Caenorhabditis elegans: one gene and its partners. The protein of the gene in region 1 purifies or fractionates together with the protein of each later gene. This does not show direct contact. Each region holds a gene or a part of one and is shown in the gene's direction. Other genes may lie near its edges. The genes, in order: pgl-3, ppw-2, chdp-1 and ife-1.

What was found.
Region 2: the proteins of pgl-3 (region 1) and ppw-2 purify together in Caenorhabditis elegans (affinity purification with mass spectrometry, with the first as the bait; one large-scale study listed by BioGRID). This does not show direct contact.
Region 3: the proteins of pgl-3 (region 1) and chdp-1 purify together in Caenorhabditis elegans (affinity purification with mass spectrometry, with the first as the bait; one large-scale study listed by BioGRID). This does not show direct contact.
Region 4: the proteins of pgl-3 (region 1) and ife-1 purify together in Caenorhabditis elegans (affinity purification with mass spectrometry, with the first as the bait; one large-scale study listed by BioGRID). This does not show direct contact.

What each region holds. Positions count from the first base shown.
Region 1 is NC_003283.11:4,754,042-4,759,095, forward strand, and holds pgl-3 (Guanyl-specific ribonuclease pgl-3), read left to right. Parts: upstream 1-1,943; 5' UTR 1,944-1,968; coding exon 1,969-2,085; intron 2,086-2,131; coding exon 2,132-2,278; coding exon of another isoform or gene 2,279-2,282; intron 2,283-2,323; coding exon 2,324-2,682; intron 2,683-2,729; coding exon 2,730-3,070; intron 3,071-3,116; coding exon 3,117-3,259; intron 3,260-3,309; coding exon 3,310-3,481; intron 3,482-3,524; coding exon 3,525-3,907; intron 3,908-3,958; coding exon 3,959-4,378; 3' UTR 4,379-4,543; downstream 4,544-5,054. Other genes in the region: hil-4 (Histone H1.4), read left to right, coding at 312-590, 777-1,259. UniProt on the Caenorhabditis elegans protein: Guanyl-specific endoribonuclease which cleaves the phosphodiester bond in single-stranded RNA between the 3'-guanylic residue and the 5'-OH residue of adjacent nucleotide, resulting in the formation of a corresponding 2',3'-cyclic phosphate intermediate.
Region 2 is NC_003279.8:5,158,011-5,164,225, reverse strand, and holds ppw-2 (Piwi domain-containing protein), read left to right. Parts: upstream 1-1,993; 5' UTR 1,994-2,021; coding exon 2,022-2,210; intron 2,211-2,256; coding exon 2,257-2,447; intron 2,448-2,495; coding exon 2,496-2,664; intron 2,665-2,708; coding exon 2,709-3,114; intron 3,115-3,158; coding exon 3,159-3,882; intron 3,883-3,930; coding exon 3,931-4,106; intron 4,107-4,150; coding exon 4,151-4,319; intron 4,320-4,365; coding exon 4,366-4,540; intron 4,541-4,584; coding exon 4,585-4,827; intron 4,828-4,874; coding exon 4,875-5,242; intron 5,243-5,293; coding exon 5,294-5,411; 3' UTR 5,412-5,715; downstream 5,716-6,215. Other genes in the region: let-630 (Small ribosomal subunit protein mS39), read left to right, coding at 1-966, 1,015-1,143, 1,196-1,528; trf-2 (MATH domain-containing protein), read right to left, coding at 5,759-5,926.
Region 3 is NC_003279.8:6,283,070-6,289,857, forward strand, and holds chdp-1 (Calponin homology domain-containing protein), read left to right. Parts: upstream 1-1,903; 5' UTR 1,904-1,938; coding exon 1,939-2,304; intron 2,305-2,618; exon of another isoform or gene 2,619-2,830; intron 2,831-3,278; exon of another isoform or gene 3,279-3,503; intron 3,504-3,594; coding exon 3,595-3,753; intron 3,754-3,966; coding exon 3,967-4,284; intron 4,285-4,357; coding exon 4,358-4,531; 3' UTR 4,532-4,698; intron 4,699-5,855; 3' UTR 5,856-6,269; downstream 6,270-6,788. Other genes in the region: C10G11.6 (Verprolin-like), read left to right, coding at 6,364-6,410.
Region 4 is NC_003281.10:13,341,388-13,345,122, forward strand, and holds ife-1 (eIF-4F 25 kDa subunit), read left to right. Parts: upstream 1-2,029; 5' UTR 2,030-2,220; coding exon 2,221-2,275; exon of another isoform or gene 2,276-2,325; intron 2,326-2,436; coding exon 2,437-2,902; intron 2,903-2,948; coding exon 2,949-3,123; 3' UTR 3,124-3,231; downstream 3,232-3,735. Other genes in the region: nud-1 (Nuclear migration protein nudC), read left to right, coding at 143-246, 294-1,152; dro-1 (Protein Dr1), read left to right, coding at 1,297-1,713, 1,796-1,933; acaa-2 (3-ketoacyl-CoA thiolase, mitochondrial), read left to right, coding at 3,572-3,584, 3,655-3,735. UniProt on the Caenorhabditis elegans protein: Recognizes and binds the 7-methylguanosine-containing mRNA cap during an early step in the initiation of protein synthesis and facilitates ribosome binding by inducing the unwinding of the mRNAs secondary structures.

The sequences.
Region 1 (5,054 bases):
TCCAACTGAAAAATCTCTCAGAACTTTAAATGCCTGTATTTATATCAATTCGAGAGTAATTTCTATCGATTGTTGGCTTAATTTGTTGCTAAACTATTCATCTTTAAGATTCTGAAAAGAAAATTCAATTTCATAAAGAACCGAGAAAGTTATGCGTGATTTAGTCAAGTGCCCTCAAGTTTCGCGCCATTTCGCATTCGGCGCCAAACAAGATGTGTCCCGACAGGGTGGTAGAGCGCGAGTATATAAGGATGGCGCGCGCTCATTTCTCACACTCACTCTCCAAGTGACCACTACTCATCCGTTCAACAATGTCTGACGTCGCCGTTGCCGCCGACACCACCGAAACTCCAGCAGCCCCAACGAAAGCTTCAAAAGCTACGAAGGCTTCAAAAGCTACGAAGGCTTCAAAAGCTACGAAGGCCAAGACTACCAAGGTGCCAATGGTCAAGGCCGATGCCGCCCATCCACCATTCATCAATATGGTCACCGAAGCCATCAGCAGCATCAAGGACCGCAAAGGACCTTCCAGAGCCGCAATTCTCAAGTATATCACTACAAAATACACGCTTGGAGATCAGGCTAACAAGGTATGTGTTTTATTTAAAGCAGAAAAGCTAAATTCAAATCAATTTTTCTGAAAAATTTTGACCAGGTTTTTGATTACAATAACTTCATTTTTAACCTAAAAATTCTTAAAATAATAAATTGCCGAACAGAAAAGCAGAAAAAAAACTATGTAGAGATGACGTTCCCTAAATTTACCTTTCTTTCAGATCAACGCTCACCTCCGCAAAGCTCTTAACAAGGGGCTTGAAAGTAACGCCTTCGTCCAGGCTAGCGGAAATGGAGCCAACGGACGGTTCCGTCTTGCCGAGAAGACAGCCTCCGTGGCCAAGTCGCCAGCTGCAGCAAAGAAGGACGCCACTGGAGAGAAGAAGGCTACGACGACCGTCGCCAAGAAGGCCGCCACTGGAGAGAAGAAGGCTACGACGACCGTCGCCAAGAAGGCCGCCACTGGAGAGAAGAAGGCTACGACGACCGTCGCCAAGAAGGCCGCCGCTGGAGACAAGGCCAAGAAGACTGAAGTCAAGGTGAAGAAGGTCAAGTCGCCGAAGAAGATCGCCAAGTCTCCAGTCAACAAGGTCACCAAGTCTCCAGTCAAGAAGATCGCCAAGTCTTCATCCATGAAAGCCGCTCCAAAGAAGGCCGCTGCCAAGCCAGCCAAGAAAGCTCCCGCCGCCGCCCCAGAGGCCTAATCACATTGTGTGAATAATCAAATTAATTTCGATCTCACCATTGTATTATATCTCTCCCTCTTGTAGGTGTCCCAGATACTGGTTTTTTTGCATCTAATCATTATTTATTGTTCCTTTGACAAACCAATTCCTATCAATGAACCAATTACTGCATAAAGTTTCAGCGTTTTCTCGTCTTTTCAAAACCTTTCAGATTTTCGGAACAGTGTTCACAGCGGGAAAAGATAGATAAAGTCCCGGAACATCTAGCAGACAGTCTTCTTCACCGTTTGGAAATTTTTGTTGTTTTCCTTCTGGAAAAATTGTATATCAAGTTCATTCGACTGATCAAGCTCGATTTCTTAAAATACACAACTTATCGGCTTAACTTGCAATTTTTGCAATATTCAGATCTTTTTTCAAATAAAGCAACAAATTCTGTTTAAATTTACTCGCAATATTTCGAATTCGGTAATGAAAAGTACTTTCAGAGAACTTTCTAGATTTTTTTTTGAAAAACTGATTTAATTTTTAAAGGCGCACGCCTTTTCCCACGCGATGGGTCCCGACTGGAAAAGCCTCCACGAACTTTTCGATGATTTAGAAGTCAATTTTTTTAAAAAGTTTTTTGTGTGTTTTTGCTCGAAGTTTCTTATTTTCAATCATCATTTGGTGAATTTAAACATTTTACACGTAAAATTTCAGTGTTATTCGTGATTAAAAAGTTCACATGGAAGCAAACAAACGACAAATTGTGGAGGTCGATGGGATTAAGTCCTACTTTTTCCCCCATCTCGCCCATTACCTCGCGAGCAATGACGAGCTGTTGGTCAACAACATAGCACAGGTTTGACTGTAACTATTGGGATTTTTGTTAAATATTCTTCTTACAGGCGAACAAGCTTGCAGCTTTCGTCTTGGGAGCCACCGACAAACGCCCAAGCAATGAAGAAATTGCGGAGATGATCCTGCCAAATGACTCCAGTGCCTACGTGCTTGCTGCTGGCATGGACGTTTGCCTTATTCTCGGGGATGACTTCGTTGGTTTAATTCCGAAATGTTCTTGTATTAATAATTCATTTCAGCGACCAAAGTTCGATTCTGGCGCTGAGAAGCTGAGTCAGCTTGGACAAGCTCATGATTTGGCTCCAATCATCGATGATGAAAAGAAAATCTCGATGCTCGCCCGAAAAACAAAGCTAAAGAAGTCGAATGACGCCAAGATTCTGCAAGTCTTGCTCAAAGTTCTCGGTGCGGAAGAAGCGGAAGAGAAGTTTGTCGAGCTCTCGGAACTGTCGAGCGCCTTGGATCTTGATTTCGACGTCTATGTCTTGGCAAAACTGCTTGGATTTGCATCGGAGGAGCTCCAGGAAGAAATTGAAATCATCCGTGACAACGTCACAGATGCGTTTGAGGCCTGCAAGCCGTTGTTGAAGAAGCTGATGTAGGTTATCATGATTTAATGTTGTGTGTCTCAGGAGTGTTTTTCAGGATCGAGGGACCGAAGATTGATTCTGTGGACCCATTCACCCAACTTCTGTTAACTCCACAAGAAGAATCTATCGAAAAAGCTGTATCCCACATCGTTGCTCGCTTCGAAGAAGCCAGCGCCGTCGAGGATGATGAATCACTCGTCCTGAAATCTCAGCTAGGATATCAATTGATTTTCCTCGTCGTTCGCTCACTTGCTGATGGAAAGCGTGATGCTTCCAGGACAATCCAATCGTTGATGCCGTCGAGTGTCCGAGCGGAAGTGTTTCCCGGATTGCAACGGAGTGTTTTCAAAAGTGCCGTGTTCCTCGCAAGCCATATCATTCAAGTCTTTTTGGGATGTTAGTTACAAAGATTGCAAACTTCTTTGAACAGTTTCTTTTTCAGCCATGAAGTCATTCGAGGATTGGGCGTTTGTTGGCCTCGCTGAAGACTTGGAGAGCACGTGGAGAAGAAGAGCAATCGCTGAATTGCTGAAAAAGTTCAGAATCTCTGTTCTCGAGCAGTGCTTTTCTCAACCAATCCCACTGGTAAAATTATTCCTTCACGTGAACTTATAATCAATATTTTCCTTTTTCAGCTCCCTCAAAGCGAGTTGAACAACGAAACTGTCATCGAGAATGTGAATAATGCTCTCCAATTTGCATTGTGGATCACAGAGTTCTACGGATCGGAGAGTGAGAAGAAATCACTCAATCAGCTTCAATTCCTAAGCCCAAAATCCAAGAATCTTCTTGTTGATAGCTTCAAAAGTAAGCAAAAAGGCTTCTTATTTTAATCGAATAAATTTTACAGAGTTCGCCCAAGGACTGGATTCTAAAGATCACGTGAATCGTATCATTGAATCTCTGGAGAAGAGCAGTTCGTCGGAACCTTCTGCAACTGCAAAACAGACCACAACTTCCAATGGACCGACCACCGTCTCTACTGCAGCTCAAGTAGTAACTGTTGAAAAGATGCCATTCAGTCGTCAAACGATTCCATGTGAAGGAACAGACTTGGCGAATGTGCTCAATTCTGCAAAGATCATCGGAGAAAGTGTTACCGTGGCTGCCCATGATGTCATTCCGGAGAAACTAAATGCGGAGAAGAATGACAATACTCCATCAACTGCCTCACCTGTTCAATTTTCTAGCGATGGTTGGGATTCTCCGACAAAATCTGTTGCTCTGCCACCGGTAACAATTTTTTAAATTTATTTTGTATTTAATATAATAACCGATTTTCAGAAGATCTCGACTTTGGAGGAAGAACAAGAAGAAGATACAACGATCACCAAGGTTTCTCCGCAACCACAAGAACGAACTGGAACCGCATGGGGATCAGGCGATGCGACTCCAGTGCCTCTTGCTACTCCGGTTAACGAATACAAAGTTAGTGGGTTCGGCGCTGCGCCAGTCGCTTCGGGATTCGGACAGTTTGCCAGCAGCAACGGAACGTCTGGAAGAGGCTCTTATGGAGGTGGTCGCGGTGGCGATCGTGGAGGAAGAGGAGCATACGGTGGCGATCGTGGACGTGGAGGTTCCGGAGATGGATCTCGTGGATATCGTGGTGGTGATCGAGGAGGACGCGGAAGTTACGGCGAAGGATCTCGTGGTTACCAGGGAGGACGTGCCGGATTCTTTGGTGGATCCCGTGGAGGTTCCTAAGCCTTCAAATTTCAACGTTTTATTGGTTGTATATTTTGAATATGTACTGATTACGTATTCACAAGTTTTAGGTTCTCTTTTTTCTAAATGATGTAAAATTTCCCAAATCATGTTTTATTTATTGAACCCCGTTTTATTGTGATCCAAGTAAATGTTTGTACTTCTATAGGAATCAGATGAATTTCGCTTTCAGACTTAAAAGTAATGCGTGGGATAATTAGTGATGTCATCATTGTAAATAGTCGTGGTGTCTCTAATCTGGACAATTCGTGTGTGATATCAAGGAATTGCTGATCGAATTAAAGGTACGGTAGCTACCGTTCTAGGATGGTGCAGCCTACCGAATGTACATATTTAGTTTGATGAGGAAACAATTTGCAATGATTAAAACGCCTTTCCGAAATAAATATGGTGCTCGGTCTCGAAACGATAAACTTTCATTGATTGTGAAAAGGTGCGCGCCTTTAAGGATTACTGTAGTCTCAAACTTTCGTTGCTTTAAGACTTACACTTTCCGATGGAAAAATCAAAGACGTCATTACATTTCTAGTTTTTTTTCCAATTAATCTGTTGAAAGTTATTACGGGAACACAAAATTACGAGAAAGCGTATTTTCGCAACACATTTGACGCGCAAAATATCTCGTAGCGAAAACTACAGTATTTCCTTAAATGAC
Region 2 (6,215 bases), on another chromosome or scaffold:
GATTCTACATCCTCATGGAAATCGGGTGCAGTCGCTGATCTTCTTTTCGAAACTCTCCCAAAAACTGATGAAACCGTTTCTATAATGATTGCTGGTCTATGCAAGTTTTCTGATCATTCTAGTTTGGAAAGAGCTAGAGAATTGTACAAGGAGCATCGAGCTGCAAAAGGAAAAGTTTACCGAGAAGCGTTCAATGGATTAATTGGCGCTTCAAGCTACAGTGTCGGGAAGAAATTGGTAGCTGAAATGATTTCCCTCAGAATGACACCCGATATTTTCACGTTCAATGCATTACTGTCGTCTGCTGCAAAAGCTGGAAAGTTTGAAGATCGTGTGAAGGCGTTCACTGAAATTATTGGAGAAATGAAAGAGATTGGAGTTGAACCAGCACTGTCATCTTTTCATTTAATTATCAAAAACATCATAGATTTTAAATTATTGGATAATGAAAAACGAGAGAGTGACGAGCAAAAGAAGACCTATAATCACCAGCTCACCGTGGCTATATCTTGGCTCAATGAAATTCAGAATAGCCTTACTGGAAAAACTCTCAAGCCGATTACATCCACTTGTAATCTTTTCTTCGTCGAAGCAATGGGAATCCATTACAGAGCTGCAAATGAGAACCTCGCAGAAAATCTTGTTTCAATTTATGAATCCAAAGCAAACGAAGTAAAGATGCCAGCATTCACAATTGAATCAATGTTCTATAATAGACAATTACAATTGGCTGTGGAACAAAGTGCTTCACTGAACAGAATTTATGATTTGTACACCACCATGGTACCACGACTTGTTGGAGTCAACAATTATCTGTCATCACTAGTTTTTCGAAAACTCGCTGCATCCTCCGATCGTCATTGGCCACTGTTACGGAGAGTAATCATCGACGGTATTGCAGCTGGACAGATGAATGGAGTTATTGGAGAAGAAATGCGCAAACAGTTGTGTAATGTACAACTACATGTAAGTTTTATTTCCAAATATCTTGTGTTTTTTACAAGTTTTTTTCAGACATTGGGAACTAGTGAACGGGAGCAATTCACATCTCTTGTCCAAAAATTGGTTGCAGTTTGGGTTGAGTTCAGCCAATTCACAGAAGAGAGAATGAGAAGGCTCCAAAGGAAACTGTCGCCTAGCCAGGTTTTAATATTATTTTTCAAACCATAAGTCGTATATTTCTCAAATTTTGCAGATCTCAGAATGTGCTTTGCTCTTGACCAGAATCGGAGAACAGCAGAAAGCTTACGAACTGTTAGATCTACTGCTTGATGAAACTGCAAGCAGTGGGGACGAAGCGACTGTTTATCCACGTGGACATGCTAGGCCATGGGCAATGGCAGAATTGTTCGAAGATGCTCTTAGAAAACGTGATACATATGCTGCAGCGACTTGCCTGCAAATTATGTCGTTGACCGCCAACCGTGCAAAACTTGAGCCTCTCGCCAATCGCATTTTCGAGAAATGTAATGTGAATCAAGAGCAAGTTCGAATTATTCAAGGATTCATTCGTCTTCGCCCACAATAATTTTATTTCGTTTAGCCTAGGATAGTTGTAAAGTTATTTTGTTTTTGTTTTGTTTTGCTTTCAAAATGTCTCCCATAATAAAACTTATTTAAAAATTTGTTCAACATGTTTTTTTTTCAAAGGTCGTTCAATTTGAAATTAAAGGCGCATCGAGTTTTCATCTGAGTGGGTCTCGCAACGCTGTCTAAGGTATACGGTAGCTATTCGCACTACTTCAAAAAATGTTACCTACTGTCCCAAAATATTCATTTCCGTGCACGATTTTTCAGTATTTCTTGTTGAAATCTTCATATTTTTCAAGTATCTAACAAAAACGTGTTTCAATAGTTCTTTTTTCAAGTTATAAGTTATAAGATTTAGAGAATGCATGTATCCCGAAAAGTTGCATAAACTTATTCAATTTTTTTCCAACACGTTATTCGTAAATTTTAAGATATTGTTCATAATGCAATCGTTCTCCGATTTCAGGTAGTATTCACTAACAACATTCACAATGCCTGCTACACCGGTTCCACCGGTAACAATGCCACCAGTGCCACCAGTTGGTTTTCCACCGGTCACCGCTCCGCCAGGACTTCATCCACCACCACCAGTCCCACCGGTTCCGGTTCCGACTCTTCCTGTCACCTCGGAACACAAAACTGCTCACGATGCGTGTATTAAGCGACTCGAACAGCTTGAGGTGAGATCGGTTCTCGTTATTGCTTAGAATAAATATGATATTTTAGATTCCGCCGGATCCGAAGATCTATCCTTCTCCAACCGAACCTGGAACTTTCGGTAGCGTGACTGAAGTCCTGACAAATGTGTTTGGAGTCGAAGTACATAAAACTTCCAACTTTTATCAATACAGTGTGCACATCACTGCTGAACTTTCATCGAAGAAAGAAGTAACTTTCACTAAAAAAGGAAAAGAAGAGTAAGATATTGATGATCGAATTCAAATTTCCTATGCATTCAATTTCAGCTTCATTGTTCATGACCGCCATGAGAAGTGCAGTGCTATTCTGTTCCACGCATTGAACCGCTTTGAGGACTTTTTCAAGTCGTCTGAGAACTGCATCATCTACGATGGACAGAGCATTCTCTTCACCAGCATGAATCTTTTTGAAGGAATTCCAACTGGAAAAATTAAGGTATCGAGATTTTATTTGTACTTTCGATGCATTCCTAATTTCAGACAAAAGTGTTTCAAATTAACGGTGCGGACACCAACTTGAAAGACCTAATGGTGCTGCCGTGTATCAAACTGGAAGTTTTTCCTACCAAGAACCCAGTCGTGAATTTCTCCCTGGAAGATATTGGAAGACGTACATCGGATTCTAACATCGAGTCTGTCAATATGGCTTATAAGCAGATTCTCGATCTCGCTATGAGTCAGTACGCAATTCGCGAAACCTCCAAATGTGTAGTGTTCGAGCACGGAAAGATGTTTTTCATTAATCCATTGCAAGAAGGGTACGCTCCATGCGACATTGTGGAAGTTGGAGATGGGAAACAAATGAAACCGGGTCTCAAGAAAACCCTCCAATTCATTGAGGGTCCATACGGACGTAACCAGAATAACCCATCGATTGTCATTGACGGTTAGTTTTTAGCTCAAAATAGACAAGTATATTTCAATCTTCAGGAATGAAGGTGGCATTCCATATGGAGCAACTCGTTTTCCAAAAATTGTCATCGATCACATCCAATCTGGCTAACGGAATCACTGGATCCGAAAGAGAACGATGTGCAGCTGTCATCAAAGGACTTGACTGTCATTCAAACTATAGAGGACGCACACGTCATCACAAAATTGAAAGCATTCATCACGAAGGAGCCGCAACTGCCAGATTCGAGCTCGAAGGTGGTGGTACTTGTACCGTTGCCACCTACTTCAAGGATAAATATAAGATTCAACTTCGCTATCCGAACGCCAATCTCATCGTTTGTAAGGAAAGAGGAGCTCTCAACTTCTATCCCATGGAGTTGATTACTATCAGTCCAAATCAACGTGTTAGAATCACTCAGCAAACAAGTTCTCAAAGTCAACGAACCACAAAAGAAAGTGCAGTGTTGCCAGACATTCGCCAACGTTTGATCATGACGGGAAAGATTGCAGCGAAGATCACAGCTGAAAACGAGGTGCTCGGTAAAATGGGAGTGACTGTTTGCGATGAGCCTCTTGTGGTGAAAGGGCGAAACCTCCCGGCCATTAGGTTGGCTTCATTTGAAACGGGTGAACATCTCATCAATCCAAGAGATTGCAAATGGCGCCCACAACGCTACAACCGTTCAGCTGTGGCTCCGAAAGTATGGGCGTTGTACGGCGTGGGGTCGCCGGGATCACAAATGAATCGCGACGTTATGAGGTTAGTCTTACTCTACTTAAAATTGATTGGTTTTTTCTGATTTTTCAGACGTTTTTGTGACGAGTTCATGAATATGAGTCGTTCGAAAGGAATTCTGTTTCCGCCACCTGGAGACGTCAATCTTCTCACCCCTGATGCTATCGAAAATCGTTTGCGTGAGGCTGCGAATGCTGGATGCACTTTTGTTCTGTGCATCACTGAAGACAATATCACTTGCTTGCATCGTATGTCATAATTGGCTCTTCTCAATAAGTTTTGTTTGTTACAGAAAAATACAAGTTCATCGAGCATCATACTCAGATGATTGTTCAGGATATGAAGTTGTCCAAGGCTTTGAGCGTCGTCAACGCATCAAAGAAACTAACATTGGAGAACGTTATTAACAAGACCAACGTGAAACTAGGAGGGTCCAACTACGTTTACCTCGATACGAAGAAGTATATTATTACGCGTTCAATTGTTTATCCATGTACAAAATTTCAGCTTCCTTCAAGAGCATCTGATCATCGGCGTTGGTATCTCCAGCCCACCACCTGGGACCAAGTACATCATGGAAAGCAGAGGAATTCTCAATCCGACTATTGTGGGTTTCGCATACAATGGAAATGGGAAGCAGGAGTTTAGTGGAGATTTCGTATTGAACGCTGCTGGTCAAGAAGTGCGTTTTTCAGTCATACTATTTTATTCATGTTGAGCTTTCAGACCATTGCACCAATTGAGGATATCGTCTCCTATTCAATCAAAGGATATAAGAAGTTCCACGATGGCAAAGCGCCAAAGCGCATCACAATCTACCGAAGTGGCTCCAGCGAAGGAAATCACGGACCAATCATCTCCTATGAAGTTCCTCTTGCTCGTGTTGCCATGAGAAACTTTTCGCCGGACACTCAATTGCTTTATATCGTGGTCTCGAAGGAGCACACCTATAGATTCTTCAAGAAAGAGGTGAGTGGGCAAGAAGTCTTGACGTTTAATGTTGATTATTATTTCAGTCTGGTGGATCTTCCAGCGGTGGATCTAACAGCGCTGGCGCAAGCAATTCTGGCACATTGACTTCGGCACCGCCAAAACCATGGGAGCTCAATATTGGTCCAGGACTTACCGTTGATTATGGTGTTACCAACCCAGCATGCAAGCAGTTCTTCTTGAACTCGCACATGACTCTTCAGGGATCGGCAAAGACCCCGCTCTATACTGTTCTTGCTGATGATCGTAATATTGGTATGTCGGCATTGGAAGAATTCACCTTCAATCTGTGTCACCTCCATCAAATTGTCGGACTTCCCACGTCGATTCCAACGCCACTGTATGTTGCAAATGAATACGCGAAGAGAGGGCGTAATTTGTGGAATGAAGCCATGTGAGTTTTCAGATTTTTTCGATTCAAGCATTTATGACTATGCCTTTTCAGCAATGCTAATGAAATTCCCGAGGTTACTGGACCAGAATCAGCTCGTTTGAAGAAAATGACCGATGGCATCAGCTATATGGGCTCCGGCGACATGATCGACCGCCGTGTCAATGCTTAAGCACTCACCCGAAGATCAAGTTGTACCATTTTTTAATCCAACTCATCTTTTGTATCAATTTTTTTATTTGTATCCCACTATGTCTTTAATGCTATATCTTATCTAAGTGGTACATAATTGTTCAATAATTGTTTTATTCCCCCCGCCCTCTGTTCCCCATTGTTCTGGCTCATCCTACGTGCAGCTTGTCAATCTTCGGCAATGATTACAAGTCGTTCATAGGTTATAGCCATTGTTGTTTTGTTAAGTTGAGCATGTAATGCTTTTGTTATGGTCTCCCGGAGACAATAAAATTTTAAAATCCAAACTGCATCTAACAATTGGAATCATTTATTCACTGGAAAACTTCATTCACTTTTCGCTTTCGATGATCCGACCATCTCGGACTGACACTCAGACGAATCGACTTCTTTAGCTTGGGTTTTTTGTTTCTCCTTGCTCAATAAGACCTTTATTTGGATAAAGATGTCACCATCAGCAGCGAATTCGGTTACTTTTGCCAACGGAAGAAAGTTCTGAAGTACACAGCCTCCTCACGTGGAAATGACCCAACAAGGGGGCTTGCGCGTTTCTCGTGAGCGTTGGAAAATTTTACCACTGAAAAATGATTTCCTTCGGTTTTTGTGGGTTTAAAATCGATTTCATATTTTGAAATTAGGTATCAATTGTAAAGCTAATTGGGGGAAAGGAGGAGAAAAAAAGATTTTTGATTTTGGTTCAAAAATAAAAGCGCTGATATAAAAAGTAAAAACAACTAAAAATTGAGTTTTTCTCATATTTTGTATATTTATCATCATTTTTCTA
Region 3 (6,788 bases), on another chromosome or scaffold:
AAAATTCGTAAAAGCTTCTGACTAGCGCAATAAATGTGTCATTTTCCAATCAGTCACAAAAATCGACAAAATAAATCAGAATCCTTTTCATGTTTTCAGTATCTGCAGAAAGTATCTATTGCTAGGCCCTTTCGGGAAGTGTAAAATGATAATGATTATCAGAGCATTATCAGTTTTCCTAACCGCCATGAACATTGAGCATTGCACCGCTTTTATCAGTTATTACCGTACTAATTGTTTCCGCTTTAGATAATTCCGTTCTATCATCCGATAAAATAGCGCTAAATAATTCTTCAACCTTTTTATTGGTATGAACTCGATGCAATGCTTTCAACTCTCAAATACCCAGTAATTTTGGTTGTCATGGTTACATTCGATTGTGAACCTTCAAAAATTATCTGTTTTCAATTTCATCACTCAAGCAGCACACGCAAACATCCATCCAGCGCGGACACCCGCCCCACAAGTCAGTAGACTCCGCCCAAATTTTCCGTCCGCTATGAGAGACGGGAGAGGGACACATTTGCCGCTGCTGCTGCCGCAATGGAAAGGGACGTTTCGGTGGCTGCTGCCACTGTGTGCATCATTGCGGTTGGGTGGTGTGGTGATGGTGCTGGTAATGGTTGACGATTGGACCACTGGCCTTGTCCTCTTTTTCACTGCAAAATGTGTGCAATACCCCTGCTCTCATATTCATTCATTTCGTCGCCCACATCCATTCCATTCGTCTTTTCTGGACATTTCTTGTTCTCTTTTTGACTCCGCCTTTTTCTCGATTTCGTAATCTATGTTTCCTATGTTTCTCATTTCGAAATCATGAATGACTCATGCTCTGAAGTTCGGACTTCTGTTCATTTCACTTCTATTTGCTTCATTTTTAAATTTAGTGTAGGTGAGAACAGCAACGACTGAATCAGAATCGAGAGCAAATAGGGGGCGGGCGGCGGTTCGATATATCAAATGACACGGAGGTAGACCATTCAAAAAGGTAAATGGTGTTAGTGGACCCTCGCCTCTCATCTCATACCGTCTCTTTCTCTCGTCTGAATAGTCTTTTTGACACACTTATTGTCGTTATGAAATGAATGTGAATAGAGGAAAAAAGGAGATTGAATGACCCTTTTTCGCCACCTCACCTGCTGAGTAAGAACCGGTTATTCCAGAATAGTGAAAGGCTCTTTTGGTTTCTTTTCTTAAGCCTTCTAGTACTCTACCTTCCTACATTTATTGCCTTTTTTCGTCCAGACGAATGTTTTCCAGGAAAAGTGAGCGCTTCTTATCTCGTTAGCATTATTCTTCGATTCAATTCAAGTCGCATATGACTAGTTCTTCTTTTTAAATCATAACCTAAACGCGCATTTTCTCTTCATGACCTTTTCCCGCAATTTGAGCATCGATTGACTGTTCTAGCCCCCGCAGCGTTCAGCGTTCCGCGTACCATCTAGTCTCTTCACACAATCAGTCTTACATTATTGTCCCTACTATAACATCGTCTTCTCTTTCTTTTTACATTGTCTCACTTGAGTTCTTCGTCTTTTTTTGTTCTTCTCATCTATATCCACTAAAACCCCATTCTTGGAGACGGTTCTAGAATAGAAAATGAGTCCTCGACAGAGACGGGTGCAATTAGTGTCCAAGCGAGAGAGAAGCTTTTGCTCATTCCGGTTTTGTCTTTTGCCTACCAAAATGTGCTACCCCGGCTTACTAGCGGCTCGCTACTGGAGACTCTATTCGATTACCCCCGTAATTGAGTTGACTTTCATGGTAGTCTTCTGTTTTTCCCCATTCCATTTTCTCATTTTTCTTATTCTCCTCTCCAACTCGTCTATTTCTCTCGTATTTTTTCTCCATTTTTAGCTCTTTGTTTCTCCGAATACCTCGAAAATTAATGAGTTTCTTTCAGTCTCAGTTCTCTCGTCACTAACCAACACATCAACTATGTCTGAGGAAATCAAGAAGATCGAGGAGGTCGCCGAGCAAGACAAGGCTCCAAAGGTTCCAACCACCGAACCACCAGTCGATGTTCCAGCACCAGTTACTGAAGAAGCACCAAAAGTAGAAGAAGCTGTCGCTGAGATTGCTGCCCCAGCTGCTGCAGAAGGAGAAACTGCCACCGCTGCTGCTGCAGCTCCAGAAGAGAAAAAGAAGTCTGGAGGTGTTGCTCGGCGTTTCACTTTCAACAAGAGATGGGGAAAGCACCGTGATGCGGAAGCATCCACTCCAAAAGAGCCAGAAGCACCAAAGGATCCAAAGGAAGACGTTCTCGGATGGATTGCTCAACAGATTCCACAGGCTGTTCACAAGGTAAGAATACTTTCAAAATAACTAAAACGATTCAGGGCAGATGGTATTCTCGCTAGAGCAACCGAAACGCAGGTTTAGTATTCACCCTAGCATAACAGCTGTTTCCGATTAGCCCCCATTCTCACCAGTTACCTTTGAATTCAAATTACCGCAGTTCGATTTTTTAAGAATCATAGGTGAATTCATTGGAATGCCTAAAAATTTCTAGGAATTGGCCAAAACGATGCATAAGTACTTTTAACTAACAAGAACCTATCTGAAATTTGATCCTGAGCTCACAAAAAAGTTTGGAACAAGTGCATTTTCCCCTACTCCTTCACAAGTTCATTAAGTCTATTCATCAACATTTGCAATGTATCGCTCATTGGTATTTGCAAGGTTTTTTGTTTGATCGCGCCGGCGAGATTGGCGATGTGCGTCGGCACTCTGTAAAAGGGCAGCTGTGCCAATCTTTCCTCGTTCCGACGCTCGTATTGCTGCAGACCCCGTAGAATGGTGTTGTAATGTAACTAACTGTGTGTGCGCGCGCACCGGATTCGCTATTGCGTAACTCTTTAGGATAATGAGAGGCAGATATTGTAGATATCCTAGAAATTGACAGACGTTCGTAAAAGTTATAAAATCGATGTTGTCTGGTGACCAGGATATTTACACGAATTAGAAATAAAAAGATGTGTGATTCGACTTTAAATTTTGAATACTCACAAAAATAATCCCCATGGAAACGGAAACAAAAATACATGACGAAAAGTATTTATATTTCATCATAATTTCGAAACATCTGTTTTATACAATGAGATTCACAAAGATTAGCATGTATGAAATCTCTTTTAAAGTCTGAATTTCGCAGGAATTTTGAGAGAAGAAAGTTTAGAAGCTATACAAAAAATTGGGTCAATTTCCCTAGACATTAATCCTGAACAATTGCTGGTTCAGTTCGACAGCCATTTTTTGTTGGTACACAAGATGAATTCGTCCTTTTTGCATCTTCTTTCCCAAAAAAAAAGGAACTCATTGGTTGAACCGCGCTGCTGCTCTGCTCCTCCTTTCTTTGTTTCTTAATTCTGATGCAAACGCACTTCTGTTTTAGTGGTTGCCGTCTTTCTTGTCCAGCACGAATGAGAATGATCTCTTATATGGAGGCTTGCAACATTGAGAGTGCTCTCATGGGATTATAGCAGAAAGAACTGGTATTGGATATTTGCGTCTTTTTTGCACTGAGAAAACAAATTACATTGGAACGTTCTTTTTTCGGATTCTTATTTTGGTCATTAAAGTTTTATTTTTCAGGCCAACTACCAGGTTATCGACTGGGTTCAGAAGACAGCTATCCCAGAGGAAGGAGAGCGAAAGACCATTCCGGGAAAAGATCAGGCCACGACTCGCAACCAATTCATTGGATTCTTCAAAGATGGAGATGTCCTCGCCAAGCTGGCCAACGCTCTTGAGGTATGTTAATTTCACTTTTCTGATAAGAATATATGGGGTAATGATGATGATGATAAAATGTGATAAGTGATATGCAAATAGGTCGGAAGGTGCATTATCAATTAGCGGTATTTCCGTTCCGACATTGATCGGAATTCGGAAATATTTTGAGATCTATTATATGAGTTAATTAAGTGAGGGATCTTAATCATGAAAACAAATTAAAATTTACAGCCAGGAGCAGTTGAAGTCGCTGCCGCTGAGGAAAACGCCGATGCTGCAGCCCAGAAAGAAGTTCAGAAGAAGAACATTGATGCCTTCGGAGCTTGGGCTCAAAAGACTCTTGGAACCGAGGCTGCTCCAGTAACCAACGAAGATCTTCTTGAAAAGGGAAAAGCTGGATACACAGCTGTTTTCCAAACTCTCTGGCAACTCGGAGTTCAGGCCAAGGAAAAGTTTGACAAGGAAGGATTCAATGTTGACACCATTGTTCAGCTTGCAAACTCTGTCGTCAAGAGCGGATTGTTGACCACAATCCTAGGATTCTTCAGAGTGAGTTATATTCTAGATTAATTTTCAATTAACTTTTGTTTTTATTTTTGATAGCTAATTTATCTTGTTTCAGAGAAATCGGCAAGCTGCTGCTGCTGTAGAAGAGCCAAAGGATGAGACTGCAGCTGCGGAGGGAGCCGGAGAAGCAAAAGAAGAGGGAGCTACCGGAGAAGTTGCAGATACCGCTGATGAGCCAGTTGCAGTGAAACAAGAGACTAGTGCACCGGCTGCCGTCGCTGCAAATTAGAAATCTGGAAGAAGTATTTATCTTTCTGTAATTTCTAGTCCGCATCTCTCTTTTCCACTATCGTGTTCCGGTATCTCAACTGTTTCCTCCGCCTCTTCATTCCAAATATTCAATGTCTCTTCCTCGAAACGATGATGATAGCTCAAAGAAGAAATGTGCTCTCAAAAGTAAGTGTAGTACAAAAACGATGACCGTCTGGCGGGATGTGTGTTTGAGTAACGGATTTATATGCATAAAGAGTCCTTATTTGGTCTCGGTTTTGGACCGTTTAGTGTAGCGCGGAAGTGGAAAAGTGTACTATTGGACTTCTCGTTCTACAAAGCGTGTGCTCACATTCCATCGGTCGGCGTGCTCTTAATGAGAAGACAAGTGTTGGTTTTGTTTTTGGAACTGGGCCAAGTCTCTCCCATTTCTATTTTCTCTATTGAGGGAAAATAGTACAAATGAGAGAGGCAATAATTAGGAAGCGATGGACAATTATGGGTCACTGAGCACCACAAAAGGACCGCCTTTCTATAATTAGAAAGGTGCAAACATTCTCTATGTAGACATACCTTGATTTTAATTTTATAACGCTTGAGTTAGTTCTAGAAACTCTTTAGAAAATTTCTAACTGAAAGGCGTAAATTTCTTGAGATTCTCTCGGAAGACAAAACAATAGGATCAAAGTTTGGACATTGATTTTTTTTACCGAATCCTTGGAATGATGTATTTGTCCTCCGCCAAACTTTTTTTTAAATTTCTCGTCTTCCGTTTCCTTCTCGCTTGAGGATCCCAAATAGGCGTGGAATTGGAGACTGTAGATCAGATTATACCTCTCATTCACATTTTCGGAGGCGAGTCCTGTACAAAAAAAGCGAGAAGACCTTGACTCGGTGACCCTTTCAAATTGTCTACCGTCTCTTCTATGGTCCGTACTGCATCGTGACTTGTTTCCTGTCGTCATCATACAGGTCAACCTTACCAACCGATCCTAAGTAATTTGAGTCGGAAGAAGTGGTTGAGAGGGGTTCGTAGGGTGTCTGGTGTGGTAGATTGAACTGTTTATATTCTAAAAGGGCAGCTGAGAAGGACCTTGAGAATATAATTGTTTATACTAAAAAGTCACGAGCAGCCACAGAAAATATCCTTTTTTGAAGTAATTGGTCATCAATTTCTGCTCGCTGACAAAAAAGGTCCAAAATGGTCAATTGACAGATGATGATATTTAACGAGAAACGGAAAGGGGTTCTGCGCTTATTTTTAATGTGCCGTTGAATGCAATTATTCAATTATCTGTGAAATGAGGATATCAAGAAAAAACTAATAAATTTAATTATTTCAGCACTATCTTCAATCAAAGCAATCATCTTCATTTCGATGTCGGCCGGGCAGCAGCAATCAATTTTTAAAAAATCTTTTCTCTAAAAGAAAATCTAATTTTGTTCATCGTTTTACCATTCTTCATTTCAACCAATTTTCTCACCTAATAAGACTTTAATAATCGATAATTGATCTATAAAAGTCTATTTTTCACCAATCTCTCGATTCATCAAACTTTTTTTGTATTTTGATAACTATTGTCTCAGCTTTCTCTTTTTGTGCTTTTCATCCTCCAAAAGTGTGAAGCTCATTAAATGAGCCTTTCCACTTGATTGATTCGAGATTTTTCCTGTTTTTCCAAAGTTCAATCTCTATTCTCTCGCTTTTTTCAACTTCAGTTTTTTCTCATTTTTCGAAATAAATAATGGAACCAACCAATTCTTCTTCGTTGTGCATGTTGTTTTTGAGTTAACATTGGTTCTAAATTTATTTTAAATTAAAAAAGTTCTAAATACAGTTAAAATATTCAGATGTTTTCAACAACACCAATTAAAGAAGAATCATGGAGACATGAAGGGTAAGAAATTATAAAAAGTTCTAAATACAGTAAAATAATTTTTTTCGCAAGGAATTGTAATCTTACTGTCAGTTGTTTTATAGAAATTTTGAAGCATCTCAAATATTTCAAGCCTCCTTTCGCTAATTTTTTGTGAATCAGATTAAATATTTTTTGTTTTAAGAACTTAACGTTTAAATTCAAGACATAAAAAACTCGAGAAATCTTAGATAAAATACGCAAAAATCGAAAGAATTTTGAAATTATTGCTTTACATGTCGCGACCTTCAATTGTTTCTAATCGTAGACCCAAAATTTTGCGATTTTTGAGCCAAGAACACGGTATTCGGTCTCGGCACGACAATTTCTCGTTAAATGAAAAATAGTGTGCGTCTTAAG
Region 4 (3,735 bases), on another chromosome or scaffold:
TAAGTAGAATTTGTCCTGTAATTATTGCGAAATAACTATGTTTCTTGATTTTAGGCTCTATTTTCAATAATTCCGGATTTCCTAATGTTTTTCTTCGTTTTGGAAGTAGTTTTTATTAATTAATATATTTAAATTTCAGAAAATGTCTCAATATGAGCGATTCGACTCGGTGCTGCTCTCCATGGCCCAACAGCTGAGCGGCGGAGTGCCTGAAATGCTTGATGTACTATTTGAATTTCTTTCGAGGTAAGAAATTTTTTCAAAGTGCTTAATAAATACATGTTTTGTTTCAGAAAGACGGATTTCTACAGTGGCGCTGGTGTCGATCAAGCCCGGACCCTTCTCCTCGAAAAATTCGATAAACACGGTGGAAAGGCTATGAAGGAAGCTGAAGAAGCCAAGAAACGGAAGGAAGAGCAGGAGAGGAAGCTTGCTGAACGAAGAGCTGCACAAAAAGCTAAGGAAGAGGAAGAGTTCCGAAATGCGAAAGTCGTGGAAGTCACTGATGAGGAAGCGGCCGCGTTTGAAAAGGAACAGGCTAAAAATTCTGTTGAAAATCTTGAAAAATTCGTCGATAACGAAGGAGAAACATCGAAAGACGCTGAAGTCGAAGATGAGGACAGTAAGCTCATGAAACCAAATAGTGGAAATGGTGCGGATCTTGCCAAATATCAATGGACTCAAACACTCCAAGAACTCGAGGTGAAGATTCCAATTGCTGCTGGATTTGCTATCAAATCTCGTGACGTTGTCGTCAAAATAGAGAAGACTTCAGTATCTGTCGGCCTGAAGAATCAAGCTCCGATTGTCGATGGAAAGTTGCCTCACGCCATTAAAGTAGAAAATTGCAACTGGGTAATCGAAAACGGGAAAGCGATTGTCCTAACTCTCGAGAAGATCAATGATATGGAATGGTGGAATCGATTCCTTGATTCCGATCCTCCAATCAATACTAAGGAAGTGAAGCCAGAGAACTCGAAATTGAGCGACTTGGATGGAGAGACACGTGCCATGGTCGAAAAGATGATGTATGATCAGAGGCAGAAGGAGATGGGTCTTCCAACGTCTGATGAGAAGAAAAAGCATGATATGCTGCAACAGTTCATGAAACAGCATCCTGAAATGGACTTCAGCAATGCTAAAATTGGATAATTCTGTGAATTTTGTGAGATTTGTTCCGAAAATATTATATTTATATTCGCATAAATGTACTCAGTTTGATATTAATTTTATTTCATCTTTAAACTTTTAATAATGTATTTCTCATTCCTTATATCTCTTTTAGATCCCTTAAAAATGCAGTGCTTCAACACAATTTTCAGACTCTTCACAGATATGGATGAGGACAATGAAATCGGACTTCCACAGAAAGGTATCAACCAAATTATCAAAGAAGTTGTTCCTGAAATGCGAATCGCCAACGAGTCGAGAGATATGATCAATGCTTGCTGCGTTGAGTTCGTGAAGCATATTGCGAGAGAAGCACAACGAATTGCGAGCCAGGATCAGAGAAAAACAATATATCACGAACATGTTCAGAAGGCACTGCAGAATTTAGGATTCACACCAGATTATCTCGAGGCCGCCGACAGTGTTCTCGATGCCTGCAAGGTTGAAGCCGAGAAGAAGCTGCGAAGGAAGAACTCTCGTCTTGAAAAATGTGGTATTCCAGAGGAAAAATTGTACGAAATGCAACAAGAATTAATTCAGAAGGTAATTTTTTGAGGTTTTCAAAAATAATTTTGTTTTTATAAAACAAACACTCATTTCCTCAATGTTAATATTTATTTTACAGGCACGCCAACAAGAAATTGAGCAGCAGCTTGCTCACCAACAAGCACAAGCCGCGGCGGTAGCAGCCGCAAACGCACAAATGTTTGGAGGACCATCAGAGGGCTCTTTGGCTCCAACCGACGATGACTACGACAACTAGATTGTTTTTCTTCGCTTTTTTTTTCTACGGGTTCTCATTTTATTTCTTCATTTGTGTATTTACCTTGATTCATCATCGATAATTTCTAAATCTCTTTTTAAAATTGTTGTACTATATTCCACCATTTCCTATTTTCCCCGTGAATTTTTTTACTGACCCGCTCCATATTTCAATGGCACGTCATTTAGGGCACGATTAGTTGGCGTTTTCCCCAGTTGTTCTCGGCTTCTCAGATCAGTCCTGTTTTTGCCTTGCCAGTTGTCGAGGTGCGAAAATTTTAAGCGCAAATGTCAGATTCTGAAATAGCATTTGAGAAGCTGAAAATCTCTGGGGAGAAAGAAGGTGAGCCATTCCCTTTTTCATTATCGTTTGAGTACTATAAATTATTCACAAAAAAACTGTTTCTCGCCGTTTTGCATCACTTTTTTGGTTCCACGTGCCCATTTTTATTTGCATTCATTTATTCTCTCTGTTTACTGATTTTACTAATCGAGTTCTTCCAGGTATGACTGAAACGGAGCAAACGACGGCACCCATTTATCCGCTGAAGCGTAACTGGACGTGGTGGTATTTGAACGATGAGCGCAACAAGTCTTGGGAGGATCGTCTGAAGAAGGTGTACACCTTCAACACCGTCTCGGAGTTCTGGGCTCTCTACGATGCTATCCGTCCACCAAGTGGCCTCAACGCGTTGTGCGATTACAACGTTTTCCGTGACGATATTCAGCCGATGTGGGAGGTTCCGGAAAACTCGAACGGAGGACGCTGGCTCATCGTCATTGACAAGGGAAAGACTCCCGAAATGGTCGATGCTATTTGGCTGGAGATTCTCATGGCTTTGGTCGGCGAGCAATTCGGAAAGGACATGGAGTCGATTTGTGGGTTGGTGTGCAACGTCAGAGGAAAAGGATCGAAGATCAGCGTCTGGACTAAGGATTGCAACGATGATGAAACCAACATGAGGATTGGGTATGCATGTCTATTTTTAATTCTATCTTGAATTTTGGAATTTCAGAGTTGTGCTGAAGGAGAAGCTGATGGCCGCATCCAAGGACCACTCAAAGCCACTGTTCGATGTGATCCGCTACGAAGATCATGAGAGCTGCCAGAAGAAGACCAGCTCGGTTGTGAAAGCCAAGCTTTCATTGCACTCGTCCGATGCTCCAGTCGCCGAGAAATCCGCCGTCTAAAGCAGACCATTTTGTATCTGCTCTACTTGTTTTTTAATTACACCCGTTGCTTGGCTAGTATTTCACTCGTTGTTTTGTGATTGGTTTAATAAAATTGATGAAAATTAATTGTATTATATTGCCTTGTGGTTTCCAGGCCCAATTTTGTATCTTATTGTAGTGTAGAATGTAGCCTTTAGGTCAGAGAACAAGTAGCGGGAATGATGATAAAAAAGACACCGCGAAAGTCGGCCATTCTGCTTCTTTTTCGTCTCTGCGTCTCTTCTCTACCTATCTTATCGGCCCAACAAACAACCGAAAAACTTTATTTTTGTTCAAAAGCCCCTCTCAAAATAATTATGCAGTTTTCTAAATGCCCTTTTTTTTAGGTTTTTTCACCTCTTCCTAATAATTTGTTACTACTTATAAGAACGTTTTTATTTACAGAACCACACAAATACACTGCAAAATGGCAGGAAAATGTGAGTGGGGGTCAAAGTCCATGGTCGTTGTACTAATAAGTGATCAGTGATGTTTATATTATGTCTGCAGGTGTGTTCATCGTCGGTGCCAAGCGTACAGCATTCGGAACTTTTGGTGGAAAGCTGAAAGGATTGAGTGCAACTGATTTGG